Schizosaccharomyces pombe: one gene and its partners. Changing the gene in region 1 together with any one later gene gives a genetic interaction. Each region holds a gene or a part of one and is shown on either strand. Other genes may lie near its edges.

The links.
Region 2: of spk1 (region 1) and sts5, extra expression of one rescues a mutant of the other (dosage rescue), as found in Schizosaccharomyces pombe (one study listed by BioGRID).
Region 3: of spk1 (region 1) and map1, changing one suppresses a phenotype caused by changing the other (phenotypic suppression), as found in Schizosaccharomyces pombe (one study listed by BioGRID).

Annotation. Positions count from the first base shown.
Region 1 is NC_003424.3:2,996,117-3,006,556, forward strand, and holds spk1 (MAP kinase Spk1), read right to left. Parts: upstream 5,403-10,440; 5' UTR 4,853-5,402; coding exon 3,734-4,852; 3' UTR 3,728-3,733; downstream 1-3,727. Other genes in the region: rrg8 (protein Rgg8), read left to right, coding at 188-287, 338-942; tetraspan protein, claudin Dni1, read left to right, coding at 1,337-2,041; hem4 (uroporphyrinogen-III synthase Ups), read left to right, coding at 2,972-3,727; RNA polymerase I termination factor, Myb family Eta2, read left to right, coding at 5,941-7,650; cAMP-independent regulatory protein Pac2, read left to right, coding at 10,022-10,440. UniProt on the Schizosaccharomyces pombe protein: Involved in mating signal transduction pathway.
Region 2 is NC_003421.2:674,593-687,506, reverse strand, and holds sts5 (Dis3L2-like 3'-5'-exoribonuclease), read right to left. Parts: upstream 7,673-12,914; 5' UTR 7,146-7,672; coding exon 3,945-7,145; 3' UTR 3,424-3,944; downstream 1-3,423. Other genes in the region: pgl1 (6-phosphogluconolactonase), read right to left, coding at 715-1,303, 1,422-1,606; DNA polymerase epsilon Dpb3, read right to left, coding at 2,315-2,458, 2,560-2,679; p21-activated protein kinase inhibitor Skb15, read left to right, coding at 10,481-10,653, 10,757-11,147, 11,217-11,374, 11,439-11,742; RNA-binding protein Scw1, read right to left, coding at 12,346-12,914. UniProt on the Schizosaccharomyces pombe protein: Required for the maintenance of cell shape during interphase. Required for localization of cortical actin to the growing tips before mitosis.
Region 3 is NC_003424.3:5,288,374-5,295,251, reverse strand, and holds map1 (DNA-binding transcription factor, MADS-box Map1), read right to left. Parts: upstream 2,548-6,878; 5' UTR 2,458-2,547; coding exon 2,314-2,457; exon of another isoform or gene 2,230-2,313; coding exon 2,061-2,229; exon of another isoform or gene 1,984-2,060; intron 1,810-1,983; exon of another isoform or gene 1,792-1,809; coding exon 908-1,791; 3' UTR 501-907; downstream 1-500. Other genes in the region: vma4 (V-type ATPase V1 subunit E), read right to left, coding at 1-231; SEA complex subunit Sea3, read right to left, coding at 2,889-6,860. UniProt on the Schizosaccharomyces pombe protein: In response to mating-pheromone signaling or nitrogen starvation, it interacts with mat1-Pc. This activates the expression of one of two mating-type-specific genes sxa2 or map3, which leads to inactivation of the P-factor. May also interact with mat1-Mc.

The DNA of each region.
Region 1 (10,440 bases):
GCTTACCATACTAATTCTGACCAAAAAGTATGATGCTTATTTTTTATATGCAACGCTTCACAGCTTAGTAAGAAAAAGTATATCACAAGTCATCCTACAACCTAATTTAGAAGTCAAATTGGTTAGGATTGGGGTGGGGAGTTTATTTCTGATCCATACTATTTACTACATCTGCAAAGTATTCACAATGACAATAAAAAAAATTATTTCGAAAAATGATCCTTTGATAAGCATCCTAAGCTCTCCTTTAAGACAAGACTTGGCAACGCACTTTTTATTTCCCAGAGGTAATCTTCTTTTTTAGTTAGTTTTAATGTTCGGCTTACTGACAATATAGAGCTATTAGCGAAGTTTCCTGCAAGGAAGGATACAAATCCTCGAAAATTTTGTTTGTTGCCATTAGAAGGAAAAAACCATTTACATAATAAACATGTTTCTTTATACTGCTTATTATCGGATAGATACTTGCAACCGCCGTCAAAGCGCATTTTCAAGCGCTGGAACATGGAATTAAATAATTTGAATTGTCCTGATATAAAAAGATACATACTTGAGTCATTACAGGACTCTTTGTTAAAAGAAATATCCTCATTAAAAGAAACTTCAACTCAGAATCATTTACATTGTAATGATATTAAAATTTTACAAGATTGTCTAAGGAGACCTAACATTTCGAATGGTGGCATATGGGTGCAATGGAATTTAGAAGAAATTAATCAATTGAAAAAGTTTCTCTCTTTTAGAAAACTCTATCCTCGTCAATCGTTTATATCGTTGTTACAAATACTGCCCGAGCCCTTTTTAAAATCGCAATTGAGTCATACGCTACCAGTGGGATCTAAATATTTTTTTGTTCCTTGCGACAAGAAACATCATACCTTGGGGCTTTTGCTATGGAAACTTTTTTTTCTCAAAGATATGCCCGCTGCGTATTCCTCATAGAGTCGAATGACCATTGACGAACTCTTTGTTCTCGGGAACAAAGAAAACACGAAGACAATGAAAAAAGCAGATTTTTGAAAGAAAGCTTAGAAATATATTATGTCATTAATAATTTTTTTGTTTACTTTAAAACCTGGCTTGGATCTTCCTTGTTCGTCTTTTCAAGCTACTTCCCTTCATAGCATCGCAAAAAGCCATTTGAGATAATTCTGTTGTGATTAAATCTCCTTAATTTTACTTCAGGATTTGCCTATATTTTTGCTTACTGAAGGCTTTCACGAACGTCAAATAATTTACCTTTTTTTAAAAAACATTCAACCTATTCATTCAAAAAAACCAGTTGACGAAAAGAGTTTTTGTATCAAGGACAAACAAACATCTACATTTAATCACCATGCTGTTTCTTCATTCAGTTGTACAAGGAACTGGAACTCTTTGCACATTAGCTGCATGGATTTTACTTGCACTAGTAATGACAGGTTGCCAATCTAGTACCACCTCGAAATTCCAGTTGTTTTCTCTTGCAACTAACGTAGCCCAAATTAACGTTGGGTATTTTAACATGTGTGTACTTTCTGCTAATGCGACGCTGATCTGCAAACCTCAATTTACTGGTTGTCCTGGGTTGACTTCCATTAGCTTAACGGATGTAAGGTCTAAATTTCTAATCAATGAAGTTCACCCTTGGATGATTGTCTTTTCATTTTGCGTATGCGGTGTTTCATTTCTTATGGGTGTTGTTTCCAGCCTTCCCTTAATAGGGCGTTTGGAATTCCTGAGAAACATTCGTATAAGCCTTTCTTTTTTCTCCTTTTTTAGTATACTAGTAACTGCTTTGTTTGCTCACGTTGCTGTCTCCTCTTTTGTGATGGCTGTTGGAAATGGAACACAAAATCGAGTTACTGCATCTCTAGGCAAAAAGGCTATGATCTTTTTATGGTGTTCTATGGGACTTGTGACATTAACAGGTATCACGGATTCTATTATTCTTTTGGTTACTTCAAGAACCAAGAAGATTCGTAAGACGATACTGGAAAAAAGCAAAGTCCTTACCCCTAGTTCATCCTTTTCTAGCAAATCCTCAACAACAAAGTATTAAATTATGCGCCTCAACTATTATTGTTTTGAGAAGATATGACCTTTCTCACCTTGTTATATTACATTATGGCAACTGTATTCATCTGTACTTGTTTTTTGTTTTTACGTTTTTTCACGTTCCGCTTTTTTTATGATTTTCTTAACGCCTCTTTTTACGATTAATCTCATCTTGGTTTATTTATGTATATGTTTTCACACTGCACTTTACTTCATTTCTCTTTTGCACTCATTTCTACTTACCGCACTTGAAACTTTCATGTCAAAAGCTCATATATTCAAGTCAAGATAAAGCTGTTTAATATTTCATTATCAATGACTAATATCGATTAAAACAATCATATACATTCTCTTTCCATAGTCTTTTTATTTAGAACCTATATACATACGCATCTTTACAAATTATACATTCTTCAATTGATTTTTTGCATAAATCTGATCAACTGTATACTTCTGTAACAGTTTTTTCGTATCTTACAATCGTAGCTGATAGAAAGAAATTAAAAGAGATATTAAATGATTTCTGCCTTGATTATTATTCAGTAAAGCAATTACACACTCTAACTCCCTTTTGCGTTAGTTCCTACCATCAATAAACGAAATTTTTGTAATGATAGATCAACCCTATACTTCGGAGTAGAATGTAGCGTCTTAAGCATAATGATGAATGTTGATCAGATACTTTTAAACTATCGTTTACCGTTTTTCCAGAAGCATTTCATTTTTTAAAAAATTTGTCAACCGATGACGGTATTTATTTTTTACGAAATTTGAGTTAAGTTAATGATTTGATTAGCGATGTGGAAAGATGCATGTTTGTTCCATCTGCCAAATTGTGCTACTGCTCACTGGTCAGAATAAGCGTAGAATAGGTTGAGGAACTAGATGACACTGTAATTATTTTTTTACATTTCTCAAATTGTAAAGACAAAGCATGAAAACTGCTTTGCTATTGAAAACCAAATCACAGCCTTTCGATCCATATGTGGAGGCCTTTGAAAAATATGGAAGAGATACAGCCTTCATTCCTGTGCTGAGACACAAAAGGGTTCACGAAGAACAGCTTAGAGATAAATTAAAAAACGTTCGTAAAACTTATTGTGGTTTAATCGTTACCAGTCAACGAGTTAGCGAAACTCTGGATGAAGCATTAAAACAAGAAGATGAAACGGAGAGGCAGAAAATATTGATGGAAACACCAATATTTACAGTAGGTCCGGCGACTGATGATAGTATTCGACGTCTCGGTTTTCAGCAAACACATGGAAAGGACTGTGGAAGGGGTGAGGTTTTGGCAGATTTAATTGAAGAGTGGTATACTACGACTAAACAACATAAGCCCTTACTTTTCCTTGTAGGGGAAAAGCATAGGGATATAATTCAAAGAAAACTGGGGGACGACAGAGTAGATTCATTAATCGTATATGCTACGCAAGAATTAGAAAATACAGAAACCCAAATAAAGGATACGATTAGAAAACATCCTACAATTGATTGGATTGTCGCATTCAGTCCGACATCCATTTGCTCTTTATTAAACACATTTGAATTAAAGATCGCAACCATTGGACCTACTACTGGAGATTATCTAAAGAAGCTGGGAACTCAACCGAACGTTGTATCTCCAGCACCTAATCCAGAGAGCTTGGCATCCAGCATAGTTGCCTTTGATGAGGAGAATTCTAGTTGAAGCTTTTTATCTGAAATTTACTTCACGAAATATTAAGGCCTTCAATACCGGTATTTCGAGATCTTCTTTGTTACAGTATAAATCGACGAGGTTGGGAGGCATGGGGGATGCTGTAGGCTCATCACTGGCATCATGATAAGCAGCTACATACGGGTGCTTTAGAGCCTCTTCTGCAGTTATACGCTTATCAGGATTAAATGTCAGTAATTTTTCTAAAAGGTCAATAGCATCTGGTGATGCCTGAGGAAAGAGTGCTTTGAATGATACTTTAGGAGTAAATGGAAGACTTTTAATATATTTCCTCGCACGTGCAGATTTAATTCTTGAAAAATCGTCCATAGTAGGCGTTCCTAGAATGTTAAGGATTAAAGTAATTTGACTATGATAGTCCTTTCCTGGGAACAATGGTCGAGCAGAAAGCATCTCAGCAAGTATACAACCAGTACTCCATAAATCAATAGCTTTGCTGTATTCTCGGAAACTCAGCATAATTTCCGGTGCTCGATACCAACGAGTTGCGACATACTCAGTCATAAAGCCAGGATTTCCGCCTTGAGCTGTGGTGGAACGTGCCAAACCGAAATCGGCAACTTTGAGATCACAATTGGCATTTAGTAGTAAGTTTGATGGCTTCAGGTCTCTATGAACAACTCCAGCACTATGCATGGCTTTCAGAGCGCGCAAAATTTGATACGTAAAGTATTGACAATGATCATCGCTTAAGGGCTGCGAACGTATAACACGGTACAAATCCGTTTCCATAAGCTCTTGTACAATATAAACATCTTCCAATTCCTGGTAGCTCGGTGGTGGAAGGATGTCTAGAATTGAAATTATATTTTCATGACGAAAATGTCTGAGTAACTTGATTTCCCTTAAAGTTCTTAGACAAAACACAGGATGATTGAAAGGATGTATTTTTTTAACAGCCACCTTTAGGCCGCTGGGTTTGTGAAGCGCGGCACATACAACTCCATAAGCACCTTGACCGATGAGATTGATCATTTCGTATTCCTCTGGTAGCTCAAAGTTTAGATCATGCGTGTGTGGGCTTCGACTTGTAGCTACTGACTCCTTGTTGGAATTCCCATCCGCAATAGTAGGCGTGGAAGTAGCGCTCGCCATTAGACTACAAATTGAAAAACTTGAAAGAAATGAAGCGATATGAATAGATAAATAGAATTAAAAAGAATTACAACGTTCTTTGTAATAAATTATGTTATGCAATCCTTTGTGCTTTAAATCCGACAATATTGAAAAAAGTCGGTTTGCCAGCCAAAGACAGAAATAGACAAGGATGTATTAGAAATCCCTTTATCAAATTAGTTTAGTATTAAATTAAATAATGCGAAAGAAGGACGTTCGGCAGCACTTCAAAAACAGGCGCTAGCAACAATAATACAAATATTAGGTTGCAAGCTTATAAAATATAGGAATAACAAAAGAAATAGAAAATATACAAAAATCGTAAAAGGGAAGAATTTCAAAAAACCAGACAAATGTATCTTCGCAATTGAGATTAAAGGCCCACAATGGTTATTCAATAAAAAAATGATGCTTCAAATATTGCCAAGCAAAGATGCCTTGAGGGAATTGCAAAAGCGTCCTTCAAAACCGTCTCTAGCAATTTCTCAATTGCCCTTCCAAAACTGTTGAAAAGCTGTTGGTAATTGTTAAGTAGTGTGGTTGGACTAGTCAACATTTATAACTTACAATAACAAAGAAAGTTTCTTTGTTAATGTATTGCCCCAGAAACTTCATAGATACGAATCTTTAGACAGAATAAAGAAACGATGAGTGACATGAAATCAAAAAAGTAACACACATTTTAAGTGCGCGACGCGTCGCGCATATTCTTTGTTTACACTAACTTACAAACCTTCCATCTACCACGACAGAAATTAAAGGCAAAGAAATGCAATATTTTAAGACTATCTAAATCGAAATAATTAATTTACAAGGTAAGCAGAAACAATTGGTTATGCAAGGATATTTGAATGGGTTCTTGAAGAGGTTGAACAGAAACCGTATGATGGTTGTTTAATTTTATGTTCTCGTAATAATAATCTTATGAAAGTTTAAAAAGCATGAAAAAAAATAGATAAATCCGTTGAAACTCTCAAACAAAAATAGTTAAACATTCATAAATTTCCCTTGGCGTCCTTACTTCATCATGAATTGGCTAACCCGTTATTAGAAGGCATTGTAAATTAATGATGTTAGCTATCGACATGACAATAAATGAAAACCAGGGAACACGCTCAAATTTGGAAAGTCCTACACTTTCATGTAGCAGTAAGGGTGCAATGCAAGAAAGAGACGTTATGTTTACAGATCACAATACCTTCAATATCACTAATAATAAATCTCGGCCTGGAAGTTTAATGAAATCTATGAAAAGAAAAGATGTTTACGAATTTGATGAAGATAATGAGTTTGAGTTTGAAATGGGGTCACTTATACATAAGCCTTCACGTGCTCACTCCTTAGGAGGAACTAGTGAGCCTGTGTCAGATGACCATAAAGATTGTATGGAAGCTACACGACAGTTATTGGAAAATAGTCCACTTTCCTCTGTCGTTGTCAAAACATGTAGTGATCATGCATCAAAGCGTAAAATTGCGCGATCCTCTTCTGACGATTCTGAAAGCAAAGTTGAAAGCACAAACTCTTTCAATGCAAAGAAAAGAAAGGATGCATGGACAGAGGAGCATGAAAAGTGGTTTCAAGCAAGGATTGATGAATTGTTAACGATTCGGTCTATATCACGGGAGCAAATGATCGAGATATTGGAAGACGAACATGCTGGGAGTCGACTTCAAGGGTTTTTAGAGTCAGTAGCATCTTTTCTGAATCGAAAAGAAAATAGTTTACTAAAGTACATGCGTGCTTTTTTTCAAGTCGCCGGTTACGAAAAGATAGACATTGGAAGCTTGGCTGCTGAAGAGGATTCGCAACTTAATTTTTCTCTAGAAGACGCACAAGTGATTCAAAAAGTAGTTTTGTCTTATTGTAATAATGAAGGCGTAGATTTACAAGAGTTTGGCTTCCGGATGAGTTCTTCAAGCTTAAGACATACAAATATCAACTTTCTATACAACGAACTACGCGAATTGCTGCCTACTTCTATTTCAAGAAAAGGAATTATTCGTTATTTGAAGGAAATCTACAAGCCGTTGGATCCGAAAGATAGGAATGCATGGGAGGAAAGTGAGCTAAAAAAGCTGTACACCCTAGTTGAACAAGAGGGAACGCGGTGGAACAGCATAGCGAACAAACTGGGAACGTCACCTGCCGCGTGCATGAGTCAATGGAGGTTTGTTGTAGGTACTAGTACTCAGGAAACAATTGATCGGCGCAAATTATGGACGAATGAAGAGGAAGCAAAGCTATTAGACTTGGTAAAGTCTTCTTACCGGTCGTCTTTTCACACAAAAAAAATGACAAGCCTTTTCACACACAATAATCACACTACTTCAAACATACAACGGGAAATACCGGCATCTGATTCCATTGCATGGCATAGCATATCGAAGAAGCTTGGGACTAAGTCGCCGGAAAGCTGTCGAAAACAGTACGAAAAAACAATCGCATCTTATTCTTCTAACCAACGTCAAGAGGAGGATCAAGGGAAGAAAAGGAAGAAGAGAAAAAAGAAGAAATCAAAGGGTAAACGCAAATTTTACGTCGCGGATAGTTTAAAACTACTAGAACATGTACAAAGGCAATGCGGAGAAGCAATCTCCATAAATGCCATTGATTGGAAAGGCATTGTCAAGCAAATGCCAAAATGGTCCGAGGAGGAATTGAGAGCGCAAGCCACAAATTTGGTAGCGAGTGTTCGCGGCTGGAAAAAGACACGTTTAAGTGAGAGTGTGAGAATCGCAATTACAGATTTGAAAAGTCTTCCTCCTGACGTATAATAACAAATATTGCAGACGAAACGTTAATAAGTGCGCAAGAAAAAATAGTCAAAAAATATCTTTTTTGCTGGTATGTCACGTTTGCCCAGGTCATATTGAATGTTTTTCTTGGCTGTCTCAATTTTCCCACACAATATAATGATATTTCTCATCTCTTTTTGCGACAGGGGCGAAAATAGTTGGACTGCACTTCAAGAGCAACCGAACCCGTCTACCTGCAAAACGTACCTACACAAGAATTCTGCAGCATTAAAGTTTATATGGCAGAGCAATGGAGAAGAAGAGTGAGTCACCTGGTTCCTCTCCACATACTGGATACTGTTGATTTAGGTTCATTTGCGAACCCATCAATCATTTTACTTCTCGACATACTGTTGCCAATCTAAATTACTTTCTTTTCATACTTGTTCCAATTGCTGGTTACCTGATATCCTCTCTCGTCTACCTTAATCCGATTAAGTGCGATGTATTTGCAACATGCACGTGTGCATTGTAACCAGCCTCATTCCGAGCCTTTCCGCTTATTTATTTATTAAATTTTTAATGTATATTCGTTATTTAATTAATATCTAAGCATGGATCGTATGGTTACTAACTTATTTCTTACTTCATCCCTGATAATGACGGATAATAGATGCAAAAATGAATGGTTTGGTGGTGGCCAACGAAACAATCGACACTGCTACGGCTCTACTAAAACAAGTCACGTTCAACGGTTCATCGGCTAATATTAACTCAAAAAAAAAAAAGAATAAAATAAGTATAGTTCGGGGTCCGAGATTTCTTTGATAGTCCCTTGGACATTCTATTTTAGCATTTCAACTAACAACTGAAAGGGCCGGAAAATCTTTGAAATTTTTAAATCTGTTTAACTCATCCCAAAGTAATTGAGTGTCGGAAAAGAAATGGCCCGAACGGTTTTATGAACCGGTCCCTACTAAAGAATAACAAAATTCAAATATTGGAAAGGCAGGTTTTGGTTTTGAACGCAGTTGTTGGATTGAAAATATATTCCATTGTACTTTGTACTTGATAATCAAAGTAATCTTGTTGTTGATCATTAAAGGCGTATCAACAGTGTTGGGGAAAAAGTTTACCTTGAATCTTATCTAGCAGCGGAAACTAAATAATTATATTTATTAAATTGTTAGACCAGCCTAAAACTATCGGGATTAGCGTTGGGTAAGGGATTTACGGAATATTTACCGTATTAGGTTTTTTTTGAGTTTTAAAAATTTAACTCGCTAACATAACCGAAGCCTCGCACATATAAACTATCTTTCAACCTACTTGACTCAACTTTTCCTTCACCAACCGCAGTGTTGCATTAAGCAGCAAAACGTTGTCACCTTCGAATAGCGTCTTTTTGACGAATAAAAAGGTTGGACAACAAAATTAAATTAAGCAAATTTGTGTATAAACTAACAGCAAGTGAAGTTGTACCGGTTGTATGATTGAAGCATTGTAAACCAAAGAACAGCTACTTTGCCTTGTCGTACATTAGCTTTTTCCTTTGCAAAGAACTTTTAGGGACCTTTTTTTACCACAACTAGAGAACCGGTGTAGAAAGGTGTTCTATTTTAGTGAACGGATTCGTTTAATTTTTTCATTGAGAAAAAAATTTGATCTATCTTGATTTTTTCGACTGTTTCCATTTTTAACTATTTGTGACGTTTCTTATTGCCAAATTTCAACCTTGAGCATTGTTAAAAAAGCTGAATTTAAATTTCTTTGCTTTTAACATACAAGTGAGCTATTGGGTTTGTAAAGATTTAATACTTGATTGGAAGTTTTTTTGGTCAAGTCTGTTTTTTTTGGGTGTTTTTTTGACGATCAGTTGAAACCGCGAATAATAATATTTATTATAACTCCCTAAAAAAAGAAAGAAAATCATTTATTAAATAATTTTTACTTTCCTTCATTGTTTCTGAATTTTGCTTCTCCCTGCCGTTTAATTGTTTCATTTTCTTTTAGAAAGTACTAAAAGGTAATCAAATCGGCTAGTCTTGCAACTGAATTTTCTTTGAAGATAATATCTAGATTTAATTTTTCCCTGCTTGAATTTCCTAAGATCTTGCGTTCGTTCGGACTGAATTGCATAATTTATTGAAGGTCTCCATTCCTGTATACTTACTCGACTACCCATTTATCGGTCAAGCTGTATATATACACGCACAGTCAACTTATCTTCTACTTATATTTATAAAACTATTTATTTTATTTCTCTTTAATCCGAGCTTCGTTAGTTGATTCTTTTGATCTTTGCATTGGTAACTAATCCAGTGCGCTTTTTTTTTTGAATCTTCGTGACAGCTATTTTCTGATTTTACTTCATCTTCAAACTACGATCTGATCGGCTTTGCCTTTCGTCATGCAAACTTATACAGGTATCATTAAGACCCCGTTGGATGCGATTATCCTTTTCGAGGCCTGTCGAATTGGTCTTCTTCCACGCGTCCAGCGTCGATTGTCCGACCATGAAAGAAGCTTGATACGAGCAGGCAGTGTTTTTGTGTGGGATGAACGGGAAGCTGGAATGCGCCGTTGGACTGATGGTAAATCATGGAGTGCTTCTCGTGTCAGCGGTTCATTCTTAACCTACCGAGAAATGGAGGGTAAACGTAAACCTTACCATCACGGTCTTTCCACCGATGGTTCCCTTAAACGCTCTCCCTCTGCAGATACGACTGGTAATAGTTCCCTAAATGCTTACAGCAATGAGGACAGTGGAGCCGCGAGCTTGAGTGATGAAGAGTCGGTTGATGATGAGAACCTACGGGGGTTGCATTA
Region 2 (12,914 bases), on another chromosome or scaffold:
ATAAGTATTAATAAACCCTTACATAAAGGAGAGTTTAAGCAATTGCATGTTTTTGGATATAAATTTCCATCTTTGCTTAAAATCTATCATAAGCAGTATGAGAAAATGCCGTAATTTTGCATAATTTTAAAAATGAATTAATGATTTAATAAAAGAATTGAAGCTAAACTATATCACTGCAATTCAAAAACAATTGGTTTACTTTATCTTGTTGATGAAACACATTTTAGAACATTATCACCAACAAAAAATGATACAAGATAGCTTAAGTTTATATATTTCAATGATTCATTTCTTCATTAAAACATCATATTTCTGCAGTGTGGGTTTGGCCAGTGATATCAATCAACTAAACATGATTCTAAACGAAGCAATAAAACAATTTAATAAAGCATTAGCTTCTTACACATTGTTTACAAGACTAACCTTTATACGCTAGTCTAAAATAAAAAACAGACAACAAATGCAAAGAGGATTTGAGGAACAAGTTCTCTCCTAATCTACTAACATGTGTTAAAACTGGTCATCAAGCATTCCACGGAAGTGACTGAAAGCATTTTGAAAGTCATTATCTAAAGCGTTTATGCAAAGAATCTCACGAACAACAAAAGAGAACTGCAACCTTTCCCTTGAAAGACCTTAAAGAAACAAGTAATGAATCCGAAGCATGTAGCAATTAAGCATTCTAAAGGCCACCTGCTTAAATTGAACTGCCTATTGAGGGAAAACCTTCAAAGAGGATCTCTCAAGATTGGCTGATGCTTCATCATCCACAAACCAGCTTGTACGAGTCAAATTGTTTCGAGTGATCAGCGCACTTGGAAGTTTAGATGTAAAATCCTCAATGACAATAGGCAAAATATCCTTCTTACCAGCACCTGTGGTAACAAAGGCAATGGCTTGAGCATGTGTGACAACCGGTAAAGTCAAAGTGATGCGGTCTTTAGGGGGTTTGGGCGAATCAGTGACTGGGGCCACCCAAGCAACGTCTTCCTGGAGTACCTCGTGATCGGGGAATAGAGAACATGTATGGCCATCAGGACCGCATCCTAACAGCAGTAAATCAAACACAGGGACCTTAACAGTGGAGCTATTTGCAAACACATGCACTAATTGTTTTTCATATTCATCAGCAACATTCTGAGGGTCAATAGGATTTTCTTTCAAAAGCTCAGGATTGATGGTATGAATTTTTTTAGGGTCAAATCCTTCAAACTTGTCAAAAATCAACTTTTTACAGAGCGCATAATTTGAGTTTTCATCATCTAAAGGAACAATTCTTTCATCAGCAAAGAAAACTTCCCTAAATAGAGCTGTTAATCATAAATTGCCTTAAGACAGAGTGTTTCACGTCAACCAAAGCTAAACAAAACCACAGTGAATCCATACAACTCAAAAGTATATAATATCTGTTAACTTACCATTTGGAAAACTCGATACCTCTCTGTTGAGCCAATCCTTCAGCCAAAACCTTTGGTAAACTTCCTCCACTAAGAGCTAAAGTGAACACGCCATGCCTTTTAATAGAAGCTTCACTTTTCTCTTTAACGAATGCACCAAGTGCCTTTGCAACTAAACTAACGTCTGAAAATGAGTAAACCGACATTTTTTCTACTTGGTTCTGGTTTGCTTTCAGTATTTGCGCAATTGTTAGTAATGGAGTAGTATTAACGAAACAAGGTGGAGTGTCGTAATTCATTCGGTAGTCGGAAATTTAGAACAGAACAAATCTTAAATCAGTTTTCGAGTATAGTAATGTACGATTACGGCATTATCACGGCAAGGTAGCGGAGGTATAGAATATAACCATGAAGCAAGCAATACGTCTGCATCGCTGGGATTAGATAAAGAAGCTCGACCTTCTCTGCATTTTTGTTTAAATAAATGAACCAAATGATATTGAGAAAGGAATTAAATGAAGAATATACAGATGGGCGCTGGTAGCTTTTCAATATCTTTCAATCGAGTTCAAACGTTTAACCATTTCCTAATCATTAAGATTGTTTATAGATGTAGCTAACAAAGGCCGCAAATTAGTCATGATTGAAACATGAAAAATCAGGTAACCCAATTTAAGAGAACATGTGTTCTATTTTATCCAAATAGCTACAGTAGTTGTTTGATAAAGCTGTTTGAAAATGCGCATTGTGGATAAAAAGACACAAGAGCATGAAAACGAAGAAGAAAACTCAAATAAAATTCATTAAATCACATTTTACTGACAAGATGATTGTTTCCTTTCATTTCATGAGGAAGTTTCTGAACAAGAAAGGAAACACTTAAGCTTCCGTTTTCCAGTTCTCACACTTTTTAATTATATAGAAAACAAATCTGATAAAAATTCAAATTGATCGTCCTTACGTACAACGTCCTCAACGTCCCTGTATCGTATTCCTTTACGTTTTTGTAATTTGGCAAGTTGATAAGCCTCTGTTGCTAACTTTTCAACAAATAATTCCTAAATCATAAAATAGGTAAGCTTTTATTTTTCTTTTTCTTTTATGCAATCAAAATGGTGCTAAGTCGCCCAGATAGCTGATTTATCAACAACACACATACAGTAGCTACTGAAATTAACAAAGCAGATGCATTAGAACAGTAGTGTACGTCTTCATCTTGCTTTATTATCCTCTTTACTCTGCTCAATGGCAATACAGTTTTCCCATATGTTTTCTCCATGAATCAATCCTATCGACCGAAACAATTTAAAGGACTGGAAAAAAGCAATTATACCCTTAAACTATAAGGTTCTAATATAAAATAACCCAAAATCTCTAGTGCTATAAAAAATTATAGCCTTCTGATTTCTGACTTTTAGTGTGTTGTTGTCAAAATACGAAGTACTCTCGCGTCGCGACCTAATAATAAACATACTTACTTTACCACTAGAACCTTACATTGTTGTTTAACTTGAAACATAAATATTTTTAACTTTTTTTCTATTTTTAAAGAGTATTTCATTTAGTTCTCATAATTTCTAAGACTTTGTGGATTAATAATTTTTTATAATCAGTATAGCATGCGTATACATCAAAATATACTCGATATCGAGTTAATACACTTGGTAAACAAAAGCCGATATAACAAGGCAGCGTTAAAAATGAAAAATAGTAATCACTAAGAATATTTGTAGAATCCTTTTCTTTTTAATATCTTATGCCGTTTTCATATCATAAAATAGGACATGAGTAACTAACACATCCCGGATACGTTTCATAACTATAAATTTGAATATTTTGTGTAAGAAATGAACTTAAATTGCAAAAAATCAACTGAAAATTGCTAAGATGTCGTCCAATAGTAGATTCATTTTAAAAAAAGAAACAAAAAATAAAAGACTCAGCTAACCCCAAACGACCGATAAGAATCCACTTCTGATTGCCTAATCGCCGCAGTGATTGCAAACGCAAACGACACTTCATCTACTGGTAAGCCAACAAAGTGACATGTATCAATATAAAAGCAGGATTTCATTTTTGAAACAAAATCCAATCTAATGTATAAAAAAGGAAAAGTTCAAGGTATCATCAACTCATGCACTCATAAAATCACGTATCGAGACTACTGGATTCCTTCATCCAACTCTATCATCGTGAACTATCGTAATCAAGTTTAATCATCCTTTTAGTTATATAACATAAAAAATCGGCATCTTAGTGTATAAGATTAAACCGAGTTTTCGAGCTCCTTGGCTATGCAAAACTTGTAAATCTCCAGAAACAAATATTAGACGTAAGTAACAGCTTCGTCGAAATTAAAGAGAAAAGTAAGAATGGGAAAAAATGCAGTTTTAGAATCGTAACATATTTTTTATCAACAATGCCTAATAATAAGAGCAATAATATGAATGAGAATATAAAGCCATTCCAGGCATCCGAAAATGAACATGTGTCACCAAAAAACACATACATGAAATAAACATTGCAAACAATCGAAGTTCAACATCAAAACTCGACATTTGAAACGTTGATAAGAGGTGGAGTCGAAAGCTGCACAAAGAGCTTAACTTTGACAGAGGTCAACAATTTAACAACTGTAACGGCTCCGCTCTCGTCGTATAAAGATAAAATGCCCTGGTCCTCTTCAAACCTTACGTGGGTTAGATTGAGCAAATCTAAATGAACACGTTTCTCCATGCCTAGAGATGGGAAAAATACGTCAAAATATGATGGAGCAACAAAACATACGAGACCGTCTTGCCAAACCTGACTCTCCGCCCAGTCACTAAATATTTTTATATGAATGCTAGTTTCTTGCGCAAATTTGCTTATAACCAGACGACGGCTTGCATCGTTTGCCGCTTGCGACCATACACGAAGGCGCTTTTCAGAAGCCAGTTCTCCTCTCAAAAGCAACTGCAGTTGATAATGAACTACAATATCACCATAACGTTCCAAAGGTGCTGTAAAATGTGTCAAATCGTCACTTTCGTCCTCAATACCAAGACTCATCATCTGGGAAGCGAGATTGCCTTTATACTTCTGCATTTCATAAACTGCTCTTGGGGTAACCTTATAATAATAAAGCTGCAAAATGTTACGAACAGTATCGTCTTCGATCAAACTTAAAGAGCGTAAAAGTGATTTTGTCGAAGACAAATCTAAAACACATCCCATCTGAATGGCCATACTTTGTAATATGCGACAGTTTTCTCGAGAGGGCAATCGCTGAGTCCTAAGGAATGCATTTTCACGGAATTCCTGACGCAAGTGGCTTGCAACGGCTCTATTAGCGGCATCCAAAAGAGTTTCACGTAAAACTTCAACCGCCGAGGAAATAAAAAGATTCGTTTCATTGGGATCAAAGCTGCAGCTTTCTTCATCCCATCGACGTACTAACCTACAATACCGGCTGAGTGGCACGTCTGTACCAAGATGATGAGTTCGTAAGCGACTGCTTACGGTATGGAATAAACGAAGTCTAGCATCAGTTTGAAGCAACTCATCAGCTTCCTTCATGGTATATGCCTTGCGAGGACGAATGACAGCCCATCCAATCCAAGTGCCACGAATTTTACCAGTTGAGGAAACATCCAGTAAGAGAGACATTGTATAACAATCCTTATCTTCTCGTAAAGATAAAGCCTCACCTAACGTAGTGGGAAACAAAGGAACCGACTTTTGGCAAAGATTCACCGCAATACTTCTTCGCTGTAATTCGCGATCTAATGGGGATCCTGGCTCAATAACACGAGAAACGTCAGTAACATGGATTCCTACATGATAACCAGTTGAAGTTGGTCGAATATGAAAGGCAGAAGAAACGAAATCAGTAGCAGAACTAGAATTGATGTTTGATTCATGTTGCTTGACTTCTGAAACGGCTGCTTTGCTAACGTCATTTTTAACAAATAAAAAGACATCTTCAGATCGATAATCTGCACAACCAGCAACGTTTAAAAAATTATCCGATAAAGCATTGAGTGCAGTTACGGCGGATGTAGCGGCGGATCCTTCCCATGGTTCACTATGAACACCCGTATCGTGTAATAAAGCGGATACTTGAGCAGACATAGAGTCCATAGATCCTAATTCACCAACCAACATACCAAAAGGATGTAGAGAAGTTACAGGCCAACGCTTTATAGAAGCTAAAAACAATCGTTGAGCATATGCTTGATCGTTACCCAAAAAGTCTGTGGGTGCTTGTTCAGTAGGAATTGCAATCAAAGGCACACGTTTATCAGATGGCTTAAACCATACGATTTTGGGCTTGTCATTTCCCGAGTTATTGGAAGAGCCTTGATTACCCGACGAGGTCTGCCTCTCCTTATTAGCGGCACTACTTGGCCGAAGTATGCCAAGCGTACCAGAAAATACCTGGCCTGGCGCCCTCTGCAAGACTGCTACGACATGACCAGCATACTTTGGCTTTTCGTCCGCACCAAGCTGCTTTTGGTCAAGAAGGAACAGGGTCTGCCCTTCCACTTGTTCATCATCTCTTGCTTTTATAGCAGACCTCTGAGGAACCTCAAACGGTACGGCGTCAATTCGAAGGTTGTCAAAAGAGCCTCTAGTAGAAATTGGGTCTTTACGCCTTCGATTCTCTTCCTTTTCAAGTTTACCAGCCCATACCTCGTCAACGTCTAACAGCTCTATGGCAACGACATCACCCTCAAGGGCACGATTGCGATCTTTCGAACCACATATGAATACTTCCGCATCCAAACCATCGACACTAACAAAAGCGTCTGATCTATTTTTCTTACTTACAATTAAAATACCCGTTACCAAACGACGCTCAGCGAGTAGAGCAGGAATCGATGACTGTGGTAAATAAGGAGAAAAAAGATTTTTACGGGGATTACCTGAACCTCCCGAAGAAAAACCAGAGCCAGAGGAGCCAACACTTAAGCTGCCAGTCGATCGACGATGACGATGACCACCGCCTTCAGGACGAAAGTTTGAGGTATTATGAGTTACAATAGTCCCAGGAAAAGATGGATTCGCGGCATGAGTAGGACTATTCGTTTGAGAAAGTGATGAAGGACGCCATTGAGCATCCAAATTACGAGGGCGCAATAATTGTGGTAAAGTGTTCAAGGCTGGTAAAGGAGATGCGTTGTTGACTGGAGGAACGAACGCATGGGGAGTAAACGGTACGGCGTTATGGGAATTGGGAGAGGAAACAGAAGCAACACTATGGCTTTTTGCATGCCGCCTTGGACTAATGTTCGTAGATGTAGCAACTGATGGATTTAAGCTAAACTTTGAAGGAACGGTCGGACTGTTAGGGAAGGAATCTGAAGAGGCAGAGACCGAAGTGGTGAAGAAATTAGTAGGGTATAAGGGTTGACCGCCTTGAGTCGGTGGTTGCATATTAGAAACGGCTGGAGAATTAGAAGGAATAGTGGCTTGGTTGGAAAAATTGCCCATACCAACGCCAGCACTAGCACTTCGACGATGGCCATGAACAAAGGACGATTCAACGGCGGGTAAAAGACCAGTGTGTCGAAGCTGATGCATGTGCTGCTGTAACGGTAGCCATGTGGGGCGATTAGCAGAGGGAGTGGTTTGTAACCAAGGAGTGGTGAGGGAAGGGTTTGCAGAAGGAACAAATGTAGGACTCGATTGCGCATCAGAAGGATCCTGTTGCTGATTAAGCATCACCTTGTAAGGAAAGTCATTTTCAAACTCCTCATCCATGACACGAAAAGGGTAGTGAGAAAAGAAGTATTAAAAGTTAAAGGAGCAGTGGGTTAACAAAAAATAAAGAATATAAAAAGAAACAATGAGATCGAACGAAAAAAGAAGTCGCTAGCAAAGAAAGACTGGCTAAGGCGAAACGAGGCACAAGATTCGTAATCCAAATTAAATACGTAGACCCCAACTGATAAAAACGGTTGCCTTTAAAGATATCAGGAAACGATCCAAAAGATAAGTAGAAGGAAACCCCAAAAAAAAAGAAGAAAGAAAGAAGTAAACGGGAAAACGAATGTTTACGGATAAAAAAAGCGTCTTATTAAGGAAGGTTGTGGTTCGAGAAGTGAACGAAAAACCAACAAAATTAAGAAAAGGAAAAAAAAGAAGACTGGTCCGTCAGAAGCGAAAGAGTTAGGCGGCAAATGAAAATCGCCGCGAAACAGTCAGCCCCAAAAGGAATTTTAATTCCTCAAATGTCAAAATCGCAAGGAATGAGGAAGTATGAAAGTGATCAGTGGTAGATCCTCGTTAATTAAGGAAAAAAAAAGGCCTGCTTATAAAAATCCCGATTCTACCGTAATGAATGATAAGAACGTAATTCTCACTTAACAAACAAAGTTAGTTGGTAATATCTAATACTTGAATTCCGAGGCGATCCGCAAGCTGGCAAACTGATATATACGGAGCGCTATTCGTTGTATCGGTAAAAAGAGGTAGGCTAAGAATGCACAGGGAGAGGGAGCTTAGCTAGCTAGAGTAGAACAGGCGAAAACCACCAGTTTCGCCAAGGAAGTGAGTTGCGAAAGAAATGAACAAAGAAAATGAGTGTCAAAATGGTAGACAAAAAATGGTTTGTTAGGTAAAGCGTAACTCCTAAATATCGTGAGGAATGGCCTCAGCAAGTGTGAAAAAGGAACAAACAAAGACAAAAGAGGGTATCAAAGAGAATATCGACTTGAACGATGAAATCTTAAGCTGAATAAATAGATTTATAAAATTTCGGTATAAAGCTAAGGCCGATTGAACAGTCAATTATCACAAGAAACGAAAGAATAGACCATTCGCGTTGAAAACGATGACTTGCGGACGATGGAAGTAAACTGACGTGTTCAGTATATAGGAAAAATTCATTAGCGTAGTGCGTTCGAAGACGTTATACAATCGATGATAAGAGTGTATGAAGAATTGATTAAACAAGAAGTTTGGAGGGAATGAGAAAGTAAGATGGAAAACGAAAAATTTGGCAAAACAAAATTAGTAGTGAATTACTGTTTATTAATAAAATTCGTTTTTGACAGGCAATTATGTGTTTCTCTTTGCTTTGAAAGTTGGTTTTTACCCACAAGAAGATTCTTACATCGGATATAAGAAGAAAGAAGTAGCGAAAGGTGGCGATCCAAGAACAGTAGCGCTCTTGAGCAAATTGGTTTGAACTACTGATTCTTTTGATTTTATAAATTATCGTTAATCGACCGGGCAAGCTTACTTCAACCATAAATCGTGGACAAAGTAACAACTGACATAAAAATGATGAGCATACGAAAATAGACGAAACGAGCAAAAGGCGAAAATAAGTAAACATGGAGCAACAAAGTAAATTTGGAAAGAATGAATTTCTTCAAACTACTCAATGAATAGCAATCGCCCTAGAAACATGAGTAATTGTTTGAATTAGTGGACGACTCAGACACGCATGGTAGGAAGACTGTTTACTCTATATAAGGATATTGGCAGCAACACATAAACCGCTACAACGATAGATACCGAAGACATTAAACTATTTTTACGTATATTTGTGCATTTTAATGAAGACATTAAAATTCGTTAACGACGTGCGCTGAATTTTTCGATTTGAAGAGGAAAGCATCAAAAGACTTAACAAAGTATTGAAAGAATGAAGCTCTTCAATAATATATTAGAGGCTATTTAAAAAATTTGAAGAACCTTGGTAATAAAAATCGGTGCAGCTTCATAATTATATCGTCGTCCCTACCGATGTCAATCATAATTAATTGCTTTCTTCGTAGGATAGAAATGTAAACTGTAGAACGTAAAACTTAAGAGGAAGGGAATTAGAAACATTTATTATATATATTCCTAACAACCCTTAAAGTGTACGAGTTTGTCAAAGAGCATGATGGGACTTTGACTTTTTTTACCTACCTATACTGCCCCAAAAGGACTCATGGCAGAAATAGGCTTCAAATAAAGTACAATAGTGATTACTAGCACAAATCCTTATTTTTTATTACTGGAATTTGCCGATTTATTATATGAAGATAGCGCGATTGTACGTTGATAAAGAAACGAATGGAATAAGGCACATCACACCAAAATCTTATGTGACAAAAATCTATCACAATACATCATTATACAAACACTACAGTAACGAAATTTTATATTATGAGTACCTGTGAATTTCTCTATTTTATTTATCGATACAACAGAGCAACTCGTTTTTCTTGTAAAAAGTAAATAAATTCAATTTAGTAAACGATTTACGAACTTCTTCTAAGTTACGACATATTGCATGGAAGAACGTGAGAATGTTTGTTGGTCCGCTCTGCCTTGGGGCTGTCAGCTGCTTTACTCTTTCTCTGCAATCGGACGTATGACCTGGAAAATACGCTTGTGAACAGATTTTGATAAATGTTGAAATAAAATTTGGAAATATTCAAGATAAAAAAAATAAATCTATAAACAATTATTCGATTTCGAAAGCTCGACCTCAGTTTCTATTGCTTTATAATAAATCTATGTGAAACTGTTCAGATATATAATCTTATAAAGAAGGGGATATAGATCATGTCTGAACATTTGTAATGGAGCTGCTAATCCCTGAAACCTCGCTACAATAATATTTGATGAAACCATACCAGTAACATGCAGGGTGAAAATTGAAACAAGAAAAGATTTAGTGCTTGGAAGGTTCTTTGTTTAAGTAAAAGCTACTGTATGTCTTTTTCTTCCTTGAGCTTGCTACTTTGAAACACTAGTTGTTTACATTAGCAATCTGATCAATTTGAGACCAAAAGCACACAAAATAAGGTATTTATTATTAATATTCATTCTCTATAATCAATTTCAGCAATTTAAAAATCTTTCTTCATTGGTTTTGAAGAAAAACATAAAGTGAAACTTCTTGCTGTTACTTTAAAATTTCATTACACCTGCAAATTCTTTGCTACTCTCTCCTTCTTACTTGGTATTTGAGAATTTGTGGTTTAGGACTCAATTAAATTATAATAGAAAAAGCAAAAGGATCGGGTGCTTATTATAACTTACTTTGGGTTTTGTATAACTGGATTTAGGCTTCAATTGTCATACTTTAGTCACCGATGCTCCGTTTTGTAGTTGGAACATATACTCACCTCATTTACGGTGTTGATGCAGACATTGAGAGGAAAAAATGCAAGCCCTTGTGGCTTTTTGAAGCTCATGAAGGAGCTTTAACCGCGTTAGCTGTCGACGGTATTTACTTGGCTTCTACTAGCAGTGATGAAACAATTAAGTAAGTTATTTGCAACTGGAATTATGAAACTGGACTTAAATGGTTTCATTCTTCCTTCCTTGTATTTAATTATCCTTTTAAGCATAATCTAACATCGTTTCAGAATTTTCGATCACACTCGTAACGTCCAAATAGCCGATGTTTCTGTTCCTACAGATATCGCCAATGCATGTATCCGAGATATGTGTTTTACTAAAAATCACCTTTTAGCATGTCATGATAACGGGCAAATCAGTATGTGGTCTAAAGGTTCATGGTTGTTGGTTCATACTCTTAAGTCATCTTCTCATAAGGGCATCACTGGTATAGCAGTTCACCCTTCAGAAAAATTGGCCCTAACAGTTGGAGGTGATGGAAAGTTGCGGCTCTGGGACCTTGTACGAGGTAAAGGAGGTAAAGTTTTACCTTTAAGCACTATCCCAGAATCTATTCTTTTCCTGAATGAGTCGTCATTTGTTATTATGTCACGAAGAGGCATTGATGCCTTTAAATTGGTAAGAATTTATGCATTTTTCTATATGCAATTTTCCTCCTTCTTTTATAAATTACTAATACATTTTTAGGATCTCACTTCCCTTTTCAGCTTCTCTTCTAAATCTCAATTGAACGCTTTGTGTCTCTATCAATCCAAATTGATAGTTGGACGAGATAATGGAACAGTACTGGTTTTGGATACTTCTGATGGGAAGATTTTACATGAATTTACGGCGCATAAGAAACGGTAAGTGTCTTTTTATATTCTATACTCAACAAATTAAAAATTCAAAATTTTCTAATCAAGTTAGCGTCAAATCTGTCTACCCTGTTGATGATTATTTAATTACTGCAAGCTCGGATGGTTCAGTATGTATATGGGATAAAGATTGGAACTTAGTAATTGAGCATAACATTCCAGAAGGCAATCGAATTACCTGTATGGTAGCTATGTTGGCCGATAGCAATTCAGAACCCAAAAATGTCGAAGATGAAGCTGCGAAACGTCAAAGTTTGGATTCGGAAACTTCTGAAACTTCTTCAGAGTCAGAATCGGAGTCAGAATATTACAGCACTTCAAAACAGCCGCCTGTGAAAAGGACGAAGCATGCCTAAAGTTCCTCGCAATTTTAAAAAAAGTAAATCAATTTCAACTTAATAGGGAAAGGACGGGATTACTATTATACAGTTTTTGTTGGAAATATTTTATTCACCTAGACTATACTAATATTTATAAAAGGATTAAGTGTTTGCTTATCAATGTATCCTAAAAATTCTTGTATGTAAGCTTAAGTTGGGTGTTACAATAAAAATACATCTAACCAAGTTGTTACAGTACTTGTTTAGCAATTTAAGATGGGTTCATTTAGAAGCAAAAGTCGATATTATTATGTAAATTGATATGTGTAGCAGAAGTATATGGAAATGATGAGCAAATGATAAATCCTAATGACAACTAAACAATGCAAGTACCCATCTTATATAAGAGTGAAATAAAACAGATCGCATAAATCGACAAATTGTAATTAAGCTTAACAGATGGTTAAAGTTGCATGCAGTCAAAGTGGAATAGATCGCAACTTTTGATTAACAAAGAATCAATATGCAAAACTCAAAAAAAAAAAAAGAGAAACAATATGCTTAAAAAATTTGGACCTAAAGTCCTTGCAAGGTATTGATGAATAATGATAAAATGAAGACGAGAAAATGCTAGATGAGCTATTTGCCATACATTAGATTATTACCCCAACTGGGACTGGCGTGGACTTCGTTATGTCCACCAGTATGATTAAGCAAAGAGTCTGTATTGTAATTATTCATGGAACCAGAGTGAAGGTTACGAACGTTTCCATTATGGTTGTTATGCGATGAACTTGATGAGCGCACTCCCAATGGGTTCTTCGAAAAACTCAAACGAATACCACCTTTAATGCTACTGCTAAGACAAACACCTTGTAAATTCTTCAAGGCTTCCATGGCGTATGGAATGTTTTCAAATTCAACAAAACACATGGGGCCATTGCCTTTAGTGCGGAAACAAAGTCTTTTGTATCCAACTTGAGTGGAAAACAAAACTTTCAACTCTTCCTCGGAAGTAGAAGGAGGAAGATTTCCAACATAAATGGTGTTACAAGGAGGATTTTGATCAGCAGGGTTGGTATTCGTGGGGGTAGAAGCAGGGATGCGTTGATGAATTCCATGACTGGAGGAATAAGCCGAAAATGGTGTGGAAGGTGAAATGGTAGAAGCTGAAAATGGGTAGTCTCTTGATGTTGATGGTGTCAAGG
Region 3 (6,878 bases), 2.3 Mb from region 1:
GTTCAAAACATTAGATTTAGCAATTTTTTGTGCCATGGAGGCTCTTTTGAGCTTCATATCGTAAGTTTGATCAATGGCATCGCATTGTTCTCTAACAATTTTGGCCTTTTCCACTTGGAACTCCTCTTCACTCAGAGTGTGGATTTCTTTGGCCTTTTCAAGAGCTTCTTGCTTAATAAAGCTCACCATTTTGTGCATCTCTGCTTGCACTTGTTCATCCGACAACGACATTTTGCAATACTAGTAATGTGGAAAGTCTATAAAGATTTGGTAGTGGGACGTGGTTTAAGTCGTACATCAAGCTATTGTACCTTCCACTGCAGCATTTTGGACGAGCAGCTAGATTTGGGAGAGATAGCGATATCCTTAAACTAATAATGTTTCCTAACGAAACTAAGCTTTGCATTCAATAATAAAAAGTCCTTGTACAAAGTAATATATAATGTAGCTAGTCCTAGTTATTTTTCTTATTTAGTAAATGCTTTCAAATTTCACATAGCTATTAAACAATTTAGGCCACAATACTGCATAAAATAAAGGAAAGTGCATTAATTAGGATTGAAAAAATTATGAAAATTAGGGTGAAATTAGCGCTAAGTTGAATTGTAAATTAATAAAGAGTAAGTATCAGGAACCAGCTAATAGCTGGAATTTAAAAGGGAATTTGGTAGCTATTTTTTGCGAAAACATCAAATGGTCTTGTAGATAAGGAGATAACAAAAATGACTTTCTATAAGGGAATAGCTGGAATTTTGGGATATTAAATAAGGAGTAATAAATTAAATTAAAAAATAGGCAATACAGAATGGCATCAAAATTCTGCACAGATACTGAGTCAAACTTAGTACAACAAAATTTGGAGTTCGTGACAAATACTGGTTCACCGCAATGGTATGTCAGATTGAATTTATCTCCGTAAATGATCAAATTGATTGTGATCTATATCAGGTAATGAATAATAGGGAACACCATTCTGTGCTAAGTTAGGATCGACATCTGGAAAAGACGATGATGCTCCTTCTGAACTTGTTCCCAATCCACTATTTGGTTCAAAAATTTTGGCATAGAAATTTATTATTTTTTGATTACCACGATACTGCCGTTCCTCAGTCTCAATGGTGGATGGAACAGCAATACGACTAATAGGTATTAACGGTGGTCGATCGCGCGGGGGAAAATTCAATGGAGATGATTGAAGGGAGTCTCTGATTTTGTTTTTCCGAGGAGTTTGGGGTTCGCTTCGTGTAGCAAAAGATTTATTTAAAGATCTCCGATGCTTATATGTCGAGGGTGGGGAATTTACAGAATGTTGTCCAGTAGTTTCGTAATCAATGCCTGTAGAAGGAGAAAATATCCTTTTACCTTGCTTTGGAAAAATTTTCACTTCTCTGGAAGCCGGTTCTGGTGGTAAATTAAGCGTACTTGAACTACTAGTTTGAGAAGTCAGCATTGATAAAGCAGGTATATCAACATTATTTGAATTATAAAAATCAATTGAGTGATCGGCAAACATTTCTGGATGTTCATTAGCTTGAAAACCCTCCAAATTTTGTAATCCATGGTCAAATTGTAATGTTTCATGAGTTGGAGACACTGAGGAAAAAAGCTTTGAGGCTATTTCTTCTGCAGAAGTCTTCGAAAAATTGTCAATATCAGAAAAAAAATTTAGATTCTCTATGTGACTAGGCCCATTTTCTTCAGATATTCTCATTTCTTCATGATCTAAAGGATAACCCGATTCCGAATCGCTGAGCTGAGCTGAGCTCTGTTTCGCTTGGGACGCTTGAGATTCTATGGTAATTAGTTTAGTTATTTTTATAAAAATGAGCATATCTAAAATAAACGATTTTTTATTTTTTTTATTTTTTGAAAGAATATCTGTTAATTATTGCAGCAAGAAAAACGTAAACAAATTGACGTCATTCAGTAAAAGCGCGACTTATTACTTCGCAGTGTCGCGTTCGTAAACAAAATTGCTGAACAATCGAAGTATTCTTGAAAGAAACTCGAGTCGAAATTTTTGTAAGGATAAAGAAAAAATATTAATATTTTAAACATACCATTTTGATCTGTGGTTGCATTGATGAGACTTTCTGTTATCAACTTTTGGCCCTCAGGTGATTTTACAACATTTTCAAGCTTTGGGGTGGAAAATGTATGCACTAATCCTGTTTCTGAAACAACCAAAACCATTACTTCGCTCCCGGTCAAAAGAGCTAGTTCATTTGCCTAATAATTATTAGAAAAACAATACATTACTAAAAATTAAATTTCGCTCTAACTTGAAATCTCACAATTGCCAGGGATTTTTACCTTTTTAAAAATTCCAGCTTTTCTTTTAGTAAAAGTATTTTGCCTTTTTTGTCTGTCTTCCAAATAGCTATTTCCCTGTGAACTTCCAGTATACGCTTTCTCACCATCTATTTGAAAGTTTGAAAGCTTTCTTTCATCCATCATTTAGAAGGTAAATTGTCGATTTTTTAAACAAACTGACACACTTGAAAATGTGTGTTTCTTTGTTACAAATTGTAAAGTTCAAGTTAGGTTAAATTTCCTAAATTCCAAGTAACTTTCATTTATACCTTATAACGAACTTGGAGTTCGTTAAAATTCGGTTATTACACTAAACAAGATCAAACGTTTCACATTTACCCAAATTATAACAACAACTCATAAATAACAATATTGCCAGTGGTAATTATTTGCTTTTTCTGCTCTTATTAAATGAGATTAAAGTGATTTAAATGGAACGTTTGAATATCTTTTACAGCATCTAAATATCAAATTTGTAAATTATTGTTAATTGAACCCAGTATACTTATAAAATAAAATCACACTTGCAATTTACGCAATCATAAATGTCTTAATAGACAACATTGTAAAAATCATTAAACTTTTTCCAAAGACATATGCTGAAATTGGCATTTGCAACCACAACCGCTAGAACACGACTGTGATATAGAATCACCGTTAGAAAACCACTCCTTATAACAATCTTCATGCATAACATGAAGGCATAGTCCGCATACGATGCATAAACCGTGAATCGACAAACAACAAAATGTGCAAGACATACGGGGTACCAGGCTATAGCATTTCTCGCAGATACGAGTATTAGAAGTCGTGGAATTGCAGCTATTGCAATGATTTACTAATGTCTTTTCACTTGGTGAGGAAAATTCGTGAGCGTTAAACTTTAGCATCTCTAACTTTGGTATGAAAAATCCCCATAAATCAAGCTGTTCAGCATACGTGGCACGCCATTGTATGAATTTCTGTTGTAATAACTTGGTATATGCAATTTCTTGTGCATCAACAAAGTCGTTGTTTTGTTTATCATAATCCATCAGCTGTAAATGTACCGTACTGGTTGCGGAAAAAATCTTTTCTTTAGAATATGTAGAATCTGCATCCTTTGGTTCTTTTTCTCGTAATGCTGTAATCTGTGCTAATGAATGGCTAGATACCTTTTCTAATATTTTGGTCTTTGGGAGGTTGAGCTGCACACCTAGTTTTTCGGTAACTTGTTTAGGTTGATTGAAAAGAACTTGATCAGCAGACGTATTACCTGACTGTTTCTTAGGATTAGGAATGTCCAAAACACAAGCAAGCATAGCTAGCATTTGGGTATTGCATTGAGAAGCATAATAATCCAGTAAAGAATTAACCACCCACTTTGCTAAAGGGCTCTTAAGCCATGGAAATGCTTCCTCGTCATTAATGTGGTCTTTGTTTTCAGTGCGTGATAAATGACCAAGAAGTCTACCTAACATTAACCAAACTTTTGCCAGGCGATAATAATTATGCTTAGCAGATACCTCAGCATTTTTGTTGCATACTGTAACTTTATCTCCAGTATCAACAACATATTCAGCAGCCAATGCTCTTTTCACTGGGAGATATTTGCTCATACTAATAATCCTCACAACATGAAAATCATGAGAAGGTTTAGAAAGTAAAATTGAGGGTCTATTAGAACCTTTTGTCGACGGGCGTTTACTCATGAAGATGTCAGCAGCCCCAAATCTGGAGCCCATAATAGATGCAGATGCAGAGTTTATATTGTTTAGGTTTATGCTGGTTTTGGATTTAGGGAAAACAATTGAACCTGAATTAGATTCATCAACGTCCCAAATAAACTCACTATCCGATTCAGATGTGCCACCTCTATTTAAAGAGTTCTCGTCATCGTAATTTGTTGAGTCTGAATCTGCCACGCTGTTACTACTATCTAAAACACCAAATGACTCAAACAGCTTTTGGCGCCCGTGGGTTTCGCGGTTGGCAGTTGCCTGTGCCGCACTTTCATCGGCTTTGATTGTGAAAAAGCACACCAACTCATCATTACCACAAAATATAGCTGCACAAGTTTTAGGAAGAGGAATATTTTGATGCTTATGAGAGAGGCCGCGATCTCCACCTCGAAAATCGGGCATAGAAGGAAAAACATCTTGGAAAATATCGGCAGAGGACTCAGAAGATGAATCAGAATTATCTTTTTGAAAGCCTAGCTTCCATATTTCATCGACACTTAGATTGCCGGACAGATAAGATAGGCATGCATCCATGCAATATTTATGGGAAGAAATACATTGGTCTGAAATTGATGTTAATGTATTAAAAACATAATTAAATTGCTCATCATTAAAGGCGCTTGATCTTTCTAGTTGAAACACTGGAGTTGCAGATATAGGATAATTATTTGGAAAATACACATGCAACCTAATATAAGCATAACCGTCATCAGGAAGAATGGGAGCATTTAAAGATATTGTGCAAGTCCTTTCCGCTACATCAATTTTCTCAAAGCTAACGTTGGAATACTTCTGCCCAATCCAAGAAAGTTCTTCTCCAAGGTTTTGAGGAACTTCCCAATCAGCATTACCTAACCGACCCATAGAAATTCCCCGTAGCCAATTTAATGGAGTCATGGGATTAGTTGATTTAGTGGATCGAGTCATAAATCCTGAAGAGCCAGGAAGATTGTATTTAGATTTCTTACGGTTAGCAAAAGCGACAAATCCCCTGGATAAGTCAGATGTATTAGCACGTTCTGCACCAAAATTAGAATCGAACGAGTTCATAGCATCAGAGGAATCACACTCAGTGTTAATTAATGATTGCTTAAGCGGCTCACGAGAATAAGTACGATATTTCGCGCCTAACCGTGTTAATTTAAAAGGAACAGGTTTTGTTCGATCGTGTCCCATTGAATTGAGTATATCGTTACCAATAGGCCATAAACGAACATGGTGATCCTTGGACCAAGTGATCAATTGAAAATCTCTTAAATCTCTATCAAATACATCTTCGCCTCGACACCTCCAAAGAAATTCTTTAACTTGATCGGTATGACCGGCAAATCTATGTACAGCACGGGGGCCTTCTTTGTCTAAATTACGACAATCGTACATGTGTACGGAATTGTCTCCTCTCTGAGGCATCAAAATAACTCCGTCCCCGAATGGAGTAAACCTTGCTTTCCATACTGGAGAATCAGTGGTAATTAAATGCTCAGGCTCCTCTGTTGACTTTTCATAGTTCCAAAACTTAACTGTTCGATCCATAGCACAAGTTAATAGGCGAGTTTCACATGCTCTATTGAATTCAAGACCATTAATTTTAGTAATATTTTCGGAAGTTTTAATTGTATGAAGTGGGGCGGATCCATAACGATCGTCCCAAATCCTTACTAAACGTCCATGGCTAGAAGCAAGTATGTGGGGATTTTTATAATTCCATTTTACCTGAGTAGCTCCGTTATGCCAATCGTAAAAGGAGTTAACAGGAAATCGAGGACTACGCAAATCCCAACAGTGAACAGAGGAATCAATTGAACAAGTGGCAAGAACATCAGGATTTTGCCGATGCCAGTTCATATCTGTGACGGCGCGGGTGTGTCCATGTAACATAAATTCTATAGCACGATCATTTGGTAGTGCAAGGTTCCATACTATCGTTTTTTGACTTGATGTAGAAACCACCCATTGGTCTCTTGCGGCATGAACATTCCACTGAGTATCAGCAACTTCCCAAGGAGTAGAATGTCTTAGCATTCTTGGTGGATTATAAGGATTATCAAGATCTAAGACTAGTAAACCATAACGTGAAGCTAAAGCTATATCTCTACCACAAGGAGATAAAGACATAGCACCCACTGGTTGATTAACTTCAATTGATAATTGTCTATCAAACGTAGTACTATCAAAAGGGCCGTATTCCACATTGCTGTTAGAATTCGATGGTAACTGCAAGTCTTCATCTTCGGAAGGGATGATGACCGTGGAATCCATATTTCTTCGCAACCGACCAGAAACACCCTGAGAGTTAAAAGATATTCGACGAGATCCATAACTACCATCGTCAAAAGAAGAAGATGATATGGAAGTTAAACCTTGCAACCTTTGTGTCGGTGTTTGAGAATATGCAACAATGGTACTAGACCTTACACTTTCTGAAAAATTTGCAAAGGAGTTAGAAGCTTTTTTAATTAATATCTTAGAATCGTTTAGCTTATTGTCCAACGTTTCTGAGTGATCTTTAGAGATTGTTGACGATGAAGCTAGTTGATCACCGTCTTGTGCAGTGTTTGATTGAGCGCTTAGAGCAGTGGACGATTCATGGATCATTGATTCAAGACTGTCTTTCTCCAATTCAAAGTTGCATAATTCCCCGCTATCATCCATATTATAGTATGAAGATGGGTTTTCAGAATTAAATTGCTTATTGGGGTAATTCAAGGTACGTTCATCTTGAAGAGATTTCAATGAATGTTCATAATCAATAGGCGAAGAATTTTTTACAACCGAATCACTCGGAGGAGACTTTCTTGAAGAATCGTCTCCCTGTAATTCCCTCATCTTTTTCGATATGGGCCA